Linked DNA regions of Tribolium castaneum. The protein of the gene in region 2 interacts with the protein of the main gene of each other region in a pairwise test. Links are inferred from orthologs where the notes say so. Each region holds a gene or a part of one and is shown on either strand. Other genes may lie near its edges.

The links.
Region 1: the proteins of hth (region 2) and exd interact in binary tests that used the Drosophila melanogaster proteins (3 or more experiments, as listed by UniProt). The link is inferred for Tribolium castaneum from reciprocal best matches to the Drosophila melanogaster genes hth and exd.

What each region holds. Positions count from the first base shown.
Region 1 is NC_087400.1:5,270,312-5,275,974, forward strand, and holds exd (extradenticle), read right to left. Parts: upstream 2,800-5,663; 5' UTR 2,796-2,799; coding exon 1,710-2,795; 3' UTR 1,392-1,709; downstream 1-1,391. Other genes in the region: GAPcenA (rab GTPase-activating protein 1-like), read right to left, coding at 140-464; pre-mRNA-processing factor 17, read right to left, coding at 3,931-4,108, 4,160-4,515, 4,567-4,721, 4,771-4,879, 5,032-5,246, 5,298-5,663. UniProt on the Drosophila melanogaster protein: Transcription factor which acts with the selector homeodomain proteins altering the regulation of downstream target genes such as wingless (wg), teashirt (tsh) and decapentaplegic (dpp), thus affecting segmental identity.
Region 2 is NC_087396.1:11,434,304-11,440,943, forward strand, and holds the start of hth (homothorax), read right to left. Parts: upstream 3,907-6,640; 5' UTR 3,673-3,906; coding exon of another isoform or gene 3,658-3,672; intron 988-3,657; 5' UTR 934-987; coding exon 913-933; intron 1-912. UniProt on the Drosophila melanogaster protein: All isoforms are required for patterning of the embryonic cuticle. Acts with exd to delimit the eye field and prevent inappropriate eye development.

The DNA.
Region 1 (5,663 bases), on a different chromosome or scaffold from region 2:
CTTCAATTTGCATTTGTAAATAAACACGTCATGACATCACCACCACAACAAAGAATGAATAATTTTAGATACACTTCTCTTATCAACAATTTCACGGTCGTATAAGGCAACAAACGTAACTTTTTCGCAGCTTCCTCACCTTCCTCCTCCTCATTGGAGTCCTGCTTGACCGAGTCCTGTTTTTCCCCGGGACTGTCCTCCCCCGTCCTTGACAGCGGGTCCTTCCCCGGCTCCACCAAACACCCATAAAACGTCGAATGCCCGATCTTCTTCTCCTTGCCGTCCACCTCGTCCATATTCCTCCCCGACTCCTGCAGCACCTCCGTCAAGGCACTCTTCAACTCGCTTAGATCCCCCTTAATATCCAACGTGGGCGTCTTGTTCGCAGGCTTGTCCCCAACGAAATCAAACTCTTCGCTCGTTGCCACCGACTCATTTGATTTCACGCTCAAACTATCCTCCATAGTGTGGGGCCACTCGAGACAACACAATATCTTATTACGCCTCCTTGCAACCTGCCACTACATCATCGACGAGCGGGGCGTGCACCACGACTGTGAGTTAATCCAGGAGGGAAAATGACACTTTTAAACACATTATGCGAAATGAGAGACGATTTGAGGTGGAAATGTGAGTAAATAAGTGTGGACGTCAGGAATTTGACATTTGATCGGTTTTTGTTTTGGCAGGGCTGACACCCACACGACACACACCAGACGCGGAATTGACCCAAAATTGACCGTTTTCGGGCGAATTTCCACAATGATTGTTTCGCTAAACACGCAAAGTGGTTATCAAAGCAAAAATAATAAAATTTAAGCCAAAATAAGCGTATATCGACGGGCCCAACTCGGTGTAGTGTTGGTATAACTGGAAGTGTCACAGCGGCAAATTTAATTGTGGGGTCTGAGCAGAAAAATTTAAAGCCCACACAGATAAAAATACCCATATACCAAAAAGAAAAAAGCTCACGATAAGTTGTGATTTATGTAATAAGTGGGTATTACGTTCCCCCTCTGGTCTCTATACAGGGTGTCCCAACTGAAATTGCACCCCTAGAATCTCGGTTTACAGAGGAACTAAATTTTATCCTAGAAAGTTATTTCTGCATACCTCTTAAATCACCAATCACATTTCTTTAATTTGGTCACGTGTCCAGTTAATCACGCATTTAATTGCGAATTAAATTAACGACGCTTCGTCTAAAAAATCTAAAACTTTTATTGACATCTGAGTAATTATTTTATAAATCTATCCACAATGACAGTGATTGTTTTTTTTTAGTGAGTTAATTTTTATGGGGCTTTTATTCACGTGAGTCTCTCTACGCCCTTTATTTCCATGTAGGATTTTCTGTGATTATTTCATGTATGTTGAAAAAATGATCCACGTGTTACTACAGTTATTTATTTAAATAGTAAGCACTGTAATTTCATTTTCGATGGAAAAACCTCGGCGTTAAAGCAAAGTTCTCTCACCCAGCTGCTCCTTATCGATAAAAATAAGTAAATATACAAAAAATACTGAAGAAAAACTCGCCTTAACTCCTAAAACAATCAACCTAAAAATATATTGCAAGTACGTCCTATACTATCAGAAAAGTAAAACTTGAAGCAATTGAACCCAGAAACACACTGTACACGATACAAAATTCGGTATACATGGGTTAGTATACAACTGTATTTCCTTAAAATTAAGCTAGGGTTTGATTAGGGCGACAGTTCCTGTGCGTGCATTGGGTCGTAACCACAGCTACTGGCGTCATAGGCTGAGCTCTGGTCGTAGGCCGACCCCATGGAGTAGCCCATGGAGTCCTGCGGGGGCGCTGGGGACATCATGGGGGTCGGGGTGCCGCTGTAGGGCGACGCCCCTGCCGCCTTCTTCGCCGCGTACAAATTGGCCTCTTCCTGCGCCTTCCCGATGTTCTTCTTGTACCTGATTCGTTTGTTCCCGAACCAGTTCGACACCTGGCTCACTGTGATCCCGCATTTCCTAGCCAACTCTTCCTTCGCCTCCTCACTGGGGTAGGGATTAGACAAATGCGAGTAAAAATACTCGTTTAGAATTTCCGACGCCTGCTTGCTGAAATTCCGGCGTTTCCTTCTGGCGTCCAAAAACCGCGATCTGAGGATCATAACAGCCTCGCAAGTCGACTGTTTCAGCTGCATCTGAATCGAGGAGAATTTCTTGTGTATGATTTGCACCATCCGCTCGATTTCCTTCGGGGTGATTGGGCGAGTCCGGGACTGCTCCCGCAGCAAGTTCATAACGTGTGTGGTGAACTCATTGCACGCCTGTTCGTACTTTTCCAGTTCTTGGTGGTAGATTTGGCGGATTTGGGCGAGTTTGGCCCTGTAGTCGCTGTGCTCGATGGCGTTGTCGGGCTGGCCGGCCTGGGCGGCGGCGGAGCCCGAGGCGGCGGCCCCCGCGCCGCCGCCCTTCTCGGGGCCCGCCACCCCCTCGGCGATCAGCATGTTGTCGAGCCGCATCAGCTGGGGGTCGGGGGGCTCCTCCTCCTGCGTGTTCCGCAGGCTGAGCACCGTCTTCTCCTTGATTTCGCACAGCACGGAGAACAGGGCCGGCTTCATGCGGTGGCAGTTGAGGGTGTGTTTGCGCGCTTGGGCCTCGTCGAGGCTCTGGTCGGTGATGTTCATGATCTGCTGGAGGATCTCACCGATGTCCTGCTTGCGGGGCTCGTTCTCGCCGCCCGCGGGCGCGTCCTGGGCGTTCATGTACGGCTGAGGGGGCATCAGGCCGCCGCCGGTGTGGCCCATCATTCTGCCGGGGTCGTCCATGGGGGCACGCAAACGGCACTAGGAAATGGACGCGCTTGACAGCATACGTAAACAAAGCGGGAGGATGTTTGCGGGATGGGTAGTAGGGGCGCATGCGCGAAAGCAGGAATTTTATGGATTTTGAGGGGCGGGTGGGGGAGATTTATGGCCTTTGGATGATATTCAAATTTTGGCACGGATTGGAAAAAGTGGTTTACTAAAGCGAGAGTTGTTTATACTTGGATTCATTCACAAACTAGGGAGGACCAGAGAACTAATGATAGAAAAAATCGTTGATTCTCTTGAAATCAGCATCTAACAGTCATTCAACAGCAAAAAATCTGAAGTAAATGACCAAAAGTTGTGTCAATTTTGAGAAAAATATAGAAAATAGAAACGTATGCTGTAAAATCATACTCTAATTACGTTATTTCACAATCTACGTTGTCTTTTAGTCATTACCAAAAAACTATGCCACTCCACCATAAAACAAATTTGCAAAATACCAGCAAAGTCCGGACCTGTGTAACTCAAAACTCGTCTAACGGACTTAATTAGTTATAATACTGAACACCCCGTTTCATCATTTTAAATATATATTTAAAAATTAAAGTCCCATTAAAGTATTTAATTCTCCATTTAAATTATCTAGAAAATTTAGAAATCAACATAGGAACGAACGAAAGTAGCAACTTATTGTCTTTTGAAAGTGAATTTAATGTGTGATTGTTGCAAAGACGAAAAAATACAGTTTGAGAAAAAATTAATTAATTAAAAAAATTAATAATTAAAAGGACGATTTAGAGAACAAAGATTTTTTGAAAAAAAAGCAAATGCTGATGTTAGAAAATTTAATTACTATTAAATAAAATACTAATAATCATTCTTTATTTTTTTCCAATTGCAAAAACATCATTTTTTATCTAATTTTTTTCTAATCTTTTAAATGCTTTAACGGCGGAATTAAAATCTCGCTGTCAAAATTAGACGTAGGCATTTAAAAACGCAAAATGAGTGACGTTTCACCGTAGACATAAGTCAGGTGACCGAAATCGCTTACGTTGATTGGTTATAACGATCACGTGACCATAGCGAAAGGACGTATCTTCTAATTAAAATATTTTATTTCGCTTAAAATTTACACCTTCTTGGAAACTTAATCCCAGTATTTGATAAGTCCATCCCAGCCTGCTGTCACTAACTTGCTCGGCTCGTGCGGATGCCACAGCACACTGATACAGACATTATCGTGCGCTTTCCACTTCTTATACAACTTTGTAGTTTTCCAATCCCAGATGTAGCACTTACCATCGGCGTCACCCGACACTAAATAACTACAAAAAAAATTGTTAAAACCTACAACTGTTAAAAAAATAATAACAAACCTCAAATCTGGTGAAAAATCAAGTGTGCAGGCATACCCAGCCACCATATGTCCCGTAAACGTCTTTTTTCGATTTATTTTGAAGCGATTTAATGCCGAGAAAATGACAATTTTGTTGTCCATGCTTTGACAAGCCAACCATTTTCCATTGGGTGCTGGCGTCACAGCAGGCATGCTGTGCATGGTCGGGTCTGCGATGTATTTCATATCAACGGGGATGTCCCACTCCCAGACCCTCAAACTTTTATCGTCCGAAGTCGTAACGAATCGGCGATTGTCGTCAACGAATGTAATAGAGTTAACTGCTCCCAGATGGCGGTCGTACTCTTGGACAATATCGCCAGATCTGGTGTCCCACTATAATAAATAATTAAAAAAAAACAAAAACTGAAAAAAAAGCACACATACACAAATGATTTTCTTATCAGAAGTTCCAGCAACGAAGAGGTGTTGTTTGTTCTTATCAGGGTTGAATTTGATACAATAGGGGATTTTGCGGCTTGAAAATCGCTTGACCACTTGACCAGTCTCAGTATCCCACAATTTAATATACCTGTCGTAACCTAAATCACATTTTTTTTGTTAATATACCAAAAAAATAAATAAACATACCGGCCGAAAGAAACAGTTTTCCTGAATTATTGAAACAAATGTCCCTAACGGCTTGCTTATGGCCGTAGTAGGTGCGAACTAATCTCCTTTCGTTATACACTTCCCACAACTACAACAAAAAATACGATTATTTTTTTTAATAGTTTTGAAAAAGCTAATAGTGACTTTTCATAAACCAACATTAAGTTGGCTGTGACTGAAATTAAACTATTCGGTGCTGCCATCTTATTCAAATTAAGAATCATAGGCCACTAGACAGACCTTAATTCTGCAGTCCATGCTAGCAGACAGTAACAAATGAGCCGTTCGGGGGAACCACCGAATGGCCGCAATTCCTTTCGAGTGCCCCGACCACGTATGAATATGTGCTTTCGGAAGGAAACACTTCTCCGGGGGGCTGTCCGATTTCAAATTGACACCAACATCTTGAGGTGCATGTAGAAAACTCCTTCCCTGATAATCCACAGCGTCTGAAACTGTAACAAAACCAGCAATTTTCGCAAAATTCACCCAATAGTCACTCTTACTGTGCAAAATTGATTTTTCCTCGATTGGTTTGTCTTCTGTGGGTTTCCCCTTCTTGTTCTTTTTCGACAATAATTCGTCCAACTCTGCTGCCTCCTCATCAGACGGCTTCATGACCCTTTGTTCGTCCACAAAACCACCCCAGGGCCCCAAAAACCCCTCAATATCGCTCGGGTCGTTATTCTTTTTACGTTTTCTCTTATCTAAAGGTCTCAGCTTGGTTGATTCAAACACTGTTTTTGCTTCCGGGTCAATATCATCGCATTGGCCAGTCGTTGTAACAACTTTGGTGCCTTCAGCGGCACTGCCCACAGTGGGGTCCAGAGCGTAACCAAAACTGTTAAACGTCCGTCTTTGGTTTTCGAATT
Region 2 (6,640 bases):
GATACAACCTTTTTTACTACAATAACACATTTTTGGAGAGATTAAGAATTATTTTTAACTAAACTGGTTCTGAAAGGAAACTGTAATTGGCAACGTAATTATCATATTTAAAACCAATTTTAATTTGGTTTAATGATTTGCGGCGGATTTGGTTCGTTGTTCACTTCTGAAGGTTTATTTTTTCGAAGTTTTAACCAACTTAAAAAAAATGAGTAAATTCTTGCCTGACGTGAGTCCAGGCTGTATGCCTACATAAAATTGAATAATTCTTGATTTTTATTAATATCTTTAGTAATGGTAATAAAGATATCTCCCAAGTGGTCATAAATCAAAAATATTGTCTGCAGTATTATCCTTGCAATGTACACTCGGATATTTTTAAATTGCAACTTTACCGCCTGGCCGCCTTCGGGAATGTGAAACTAGCAAAAACTCATATTACTTGAAAAATTTATGACACCCAAAAATTAAATTTTCGTTCCTGGTATTTTTACGTTTTAACCTGAATTTTTAGCGAGTTTATTTAGTGTCTTTCTACTGATTTATATCTGTAAAAAATTAAAGCGGATTATAACAGACACTTTGTTGCTTTGTACAAATTTCAGATATTTATCTTTTTTTTGAAAAATCTACAATTTTCATGGATCATAACGATACTATTTTCCGGATCATATAATTCGTATGGGATTGTCACTCGGTCATAAATATACTGTTTTAGTTTTTATAGGATAGATTCTGGCGTGAAATAAATTTTGGAAAATTGTTGCGGTCACGTGTGTGCACCTGTGGGCCAGCGTCATGAAAACGCTGGCCCCGGGTGTGGAAGAATTTGGGGTTTTAGGGCACAAAAAACCACTAACTAAACGACCAAAACCACAAGACTATAGTTAGAGATAATAAGGGCATATTTACATTTTTTTGAAGCACATCCATGTCGAATCGTTTCGCACTATTCTTTAAAAATCGGTCAAAAAGAATTTTTTACACCTAGAAAAGAATTCGGAGTAAAGCAAAGCCATTAAATCAAAAACAGTGTAATCCGACGACGAAGAAGGCGACAACTCGGAGACACATCACAGCACTGAGGAACAGTCCTTTTACAACTGCCATAAACTCACATAATTACGACTCTCAAAGTCTGTAATAACGCACTTTTATCGAATTTAATTCGATGGGTGGCGCACGACACACTCCCGCACCTTGCGACGCCACTGGAGCGCGGCCGACGGCTTCCACTCCTGGAGATGTTGAGGGGCGCGATGATATTTTTATTAAAACGTCGTAAAATCGGGGGATGGAAGCGGAATCGCGATCGGATGCCGATAATTTGCCTTTTTTCGGCCCGGATTTTAGTGGCTCTAAAGTAGGAACTTGTTGGAATGGTTGTCGTCGTAAAGTTTCATGGAGTAGTAAAGAGGACCGTGTGTTATATGGAGGCGAGTTTTTTGCCCCGCCGGAGTCGCAGCCGTAAAGTTTTATCGTCGGAAATTTTGATTTGGACGGGGGCCCGTCGGCCGACGGGCCTTTTCGCGCCGATTCCGGCGCTTCATGAATATGGATTCGCGAACAAATGAGCGCTGGTATAAATGGTCTAATTTTAATTAAAATTTTGGAGTAGGTACACGCCGATTAATTACTAGATACGGGCGAATTTAATTACGGAATTAAGGGAGGGGGCCGGGGTTTCGGTGCATTCTTCGCTGCATTCCTCGATGATAATCCAAAAGTGAGTTTTTGTGAGTGGCATTTACGGTGTGTAATCAGGTAAGGTATCTGTCCGTGGCCCGGCCAAAGTGCCTATTCATCGGTTTTAAGAGAAATTAAAAGTATTCGTTGAAAGGCCACTGCTAAACTATAATTACAAGAAACGCATCACTCCCGATCTTTAATTGCGACCATTGACTAATCAAGCCTCCATTATGATGGTCGTGCCATTAGGCCCACTCCGATTAATACAAAATCACCCATTCAAATAAAAAAACGATATTTCGTCCGAATCGAACACATAAATTAAACTCATTTGAATTTTAATTATTGTGGACGCATAATATTTAACTATGATTTGTTTCCCAAATAGTTATCCGATATTTTATCCAGTTTATTACTCCGTATTATAACAAAATAAATGAATTTTATGTGCCAATAACATTTTTCGTTTTATTCAGCCATGAAAATTTTTATTAGCTGCGAAAAACATGCAGCTTCACTGTTAAGGAGGTTATTAAATTAAGCTCTCGATCTAATTTATAACTCTCTTTTCTATAAAACCATTCAAATTAGACCACACAGCCCCGTAACAGTCTTTGCCACACGCGCGCCGCTTTTCACAAACCGAATTTCCAACAACTCCAAATTAAATAAAAGGGAACTTGGAATAATTTAGCGCGCGATTTTCCCACCGAAGGGTGCTGCCCGAAATCCCGGTGTTATATTTTTCTATTTTCCCGCTTCTCGACGCTTTGTCGGAGACATCACCCAGCCACAATTCCCTGATAAAACGTTATCTGCCTCCACTCTTCTCCCGTGTACTGTTAAATCTCCGCTTTAGTTTTCCCAAGCCACCAGGAAGCGCCACTCACAACCCCATCCCCGTATCTTTTCAATAACATACAAATTCTCCAGTTAAAATCCTTAAATCAGCTTTATTGTTTCAATAGCTCACTTAAACAAAAACAAAAAGTTTAACTACAAATCCAAATAAATATTTGAATAAATTCTATTCAAGTTTTTTTTGTTATTGGTCTTTTTTATTGCAATATTTGACAAGTGTGAGCTACTTGAACTCAGCATTTCTCTTTTATTGTTTAATTATTGCAATAAAATTTAAAGCTGCAGATTTTGAAAAATGTTACATCATTTTATTATACTGAAATAATTTTATTTGGTCTCTTAATTCAGGTGGCCCACTTTTATTAAAAAAACTCATAAAATTCCAAATGTCATCATTTCTAACCACCATTGTACGGTAATAAAAAGTTAGTAAACTTTTATGGCCTTTTTACCATGAAAAAAAATACACTTTAGCACAATTTTACAAGAGTAATTAATCTCTCATATAAATTTAAAAGAAATGTTAATTTCTAATTATCATTTTATTGGGTACTATAATTTTGAAACTTTTTTCGTCCGGTGTGCTTCAATAAAACTTGCAACAAAATTTTATATTTGCTACTTTTAAAGAATTAAAAGGTTGTAGCCTTTTTATGGTCAATTTAATTATAGTCCTTATTTAAATATGGAGAAGACCATAAACTCAACCATTCGAATTCCGAAAAAGATACAAGTGAAGAAAAACAAGATAATTTGAAATCATTTTCTCATTTCCTGGCACGGATAACACTGTTAATTGTCTTTTAATAGTTGTTTTTTTATAAGTTTTCCAAACTCAAAAATATTCTCTTTGTTTCTCTTTGGTTTGTAGTTTGTTAATTGGATTGTCTTAAGGCCGGTTCGCATTGGCGCGTTTATCGCTGGATGTTATGGTTGTCGTGGGGCGATGTACAGGGTGATTGATGCGAAGTGTCGCGGCGCGTCACGTGATGGGGTGGTACCGGTAGCCGTCGGCCCGCGCGCGGACCGCCGCGGTCCAGTGGCGATCTCGCGTTTCGGCTGCGGTGTGTCGGCCGCTGGTCGCCTTCTCCGTCGGTCACTTCGTACCCGTGGCTGAGCCATGAACTGCACCGGGTGGTCGCACCGTAGCACCGTCAGAGTCACTCTTGGCGCGCACTTTTATCACACTCACTGCGGTTCACTGCACTGTCGTGTACACTGGGCCGGTGCGAGCAGGTGCTGGGGGCCCCCTCGGGCATGGGGTCGGTGGATGGGGTCTCAGATCTCTCGGTGGTGATGGTGCGCCGAGCTGCCGTGTCCGAAGCGCGTGCGGAGATCCTGCGCGGTCCGCAGTCGTCTGCCAACTGTCAATCACGCCGAACGAAGGGGGCAGAGTGGGGCTCAGATGAATGATCTGTCAGGGCAAAGACACGCCTCTCGCCCAATGGCGGACGCTACGAACGCGCGCGCGCCGTCTCACGGACGTTCCAGGCACTACCGAACAGCGTTGCCAAGACGCCCCACAAACCTCCCCAAGTCCCCACAAAACTCGATACCATACGCTGCACCCGAAGTACATACATAACCTAAAAAATCACACTCTATACGCTCTACACCCGACCGATTCCACGCACTATACATTATTTAACGCGCAATTATGCACCGTGAATCATTAATACTTGTATATTTATCAATGCTGCCTTAATTATCTACGTAATAACCCTATAATTACCACATTTTACGTAATCATATCAAAAATATATGTCTATACTATACCTTCTGACCCTGTAAAAAACCACCCCAACCTATGCTATACAACTTGACAAAAAATATATTACGCGTATAGCTATGATTTCTTGAATTCAGTATCTATATATACCTATATATAGGTACCTATATATACTTATAGGCATATATACCTATATATATTATAAACTTCGGTTATAAAATTTCGATTCTGGTTAAACCGATTACATACATATACGAGGTCATCAGTTTCAGACACGAACACCTATACAAAATATGTCTTTGACTTTATATTTGCGTATTATTTCCAAGGTGATATTAGAAACACTCCTAATTTGCTTTGTTGGTGAAAATATTTTTAGCATCACCTTAGAAACAACAGGAAGCCAAGGATCATCTATACCTAAAGACGTTTGTAATCTTTAGATAGAATGGATTTTGTGGATCCCCTAAACTTTATTGGCGTGAGGAGTAACGGGCGCATGGGCATTTAGATAACACAAAATGGTCACTTTTTCACACTAGGGAAGTATGGGTACGTAATTGTTCACTAATGATCAGTGGGTAAAGTGCTATGTAAGTGTGATGATTTTTCAACTTTAATAGACAAGTCATCATCCGTATAAGTGTCTCAATGTTTCTCAAGCCTTATCTAAATCGACAATGATCACCGTCAGGCCATTACAGTAATTATTATGTTTATACCTATGCACATGCACTTAAATTGCAGTCTACTCAGATGCAAATCATTTCGTCAAAAGTCTGTTCATGTTTAGTTTTTGATGTAAACTTTAACGTCTTTATGCCTTTCTTCTTCAATTTCCATATGTTTAGTGTGTTTAGTTTTTACAAGTTTACTATGTGGTTAGCGTATTATTAAGTCAATATTAAGAAGTGACAGCAACATAATGTAACTTTATGAAACACACGAATCGACTTATTATAATGGATAGGTGGAGAAAGGTAAATGGAGGTACAGCATTGGTCTTTAATTTGTTTTCAAAGTTTTTTTTTTAATTATAGTTGTAACAATGATTCGTAATTAATAATTATACAGCGTGGATAAAAAAATGAATTGCTCTCAACTTACAAAAAAGATTTTTTAGAAGAATCAGAAATAACAAAAGGAAAATGAATTTTAAAACTAATGCATGTGATAAAAATCATAGTCACTTTGTTTGAATGAAGAGAATTAGCAACAGCACATAAAAAATGTTATCTAATATTTAATTGGAACAAACGGTTCAAATTATTAAAATGCAAGTTAATTTTTATTACAGGAATACCCATAAATGATTTTTTTATCAAACACAAAAGTATCACATTGAAGATTTGCATGTGTTATTTACTGTTTTTGTTGTTTTAAATTAAAAACAACTCGTCAAGAAACGAATATGGGCTTCGGCATTTTATTGTCTTTTGTTGTGAAGTTTAAAATGAAAGTCATACATAAATATCTGTGTCGACAGTTTTAAATTTTATTTGCGAATTTCGCAATTCGCATAACATTTTCCAAATGCTTTTTGAAAGGGTGACATTTACAAAAGTGAGTTACCACAGCTGTAAATAATTTTTGACACGCAGGATTATTCAATTCTTTGATCACGAAAAGAATGCAAACAGAAAAAATTAAATATGCTTAATAAATAACAATGAGCAATTAAAAGTAACAAATAAATTTTTTAGGGTAACGAAGATCAAACACTGCATTGAATTCGGTGTAAGACTTATTTAACTTGCTTAATCTTGTAAATAAAAATTATGTCAACACGAATATCGAGCTAAGTAATGCGAGTCTTCACACTTTGTGTGGGCTGGGTTTTTACAATTTTATGGCTCGTTTTGGAAACACAGCCTGAAATTAAACCAATTATAGCCAGAGCAAATAATCTTGAATAAGCTAACGAACAGACTTCCATTATCGTAGGCCGATTGTTTGCTGAATTGTTATGTTATCTTTTATTACAATAGGCGGGGCTTTTGATAACCACAACGGGGATACGTAATGGACTCTCCGCAATAATTAATCTTGAAAATTATAAATATTTATTAAAAAATTATAGAAAAATTAAGATTTAACGCTCCAGGAAACGTCGCGTTCTTGCAAGTTACAGTAGATACAAGATGATGAATAGAAATTAGAAATATTTTCGTGCTTTCTAAAAACCTACAAAGCTAAATTTTCTCTTGGCCAGTCAACCCTTGAAGTTATTTTTAACCCGGAGTCCACAACGTCCGCATTGGCTCATTACAAAGCCTCTTTCGTCGAAAGTCCGTTCCGGCTTTAGCACAAAACCAGAGTTCTGAGAATCGGGGTCGTGCAACCCTAAGCCGCTTTCTTCTC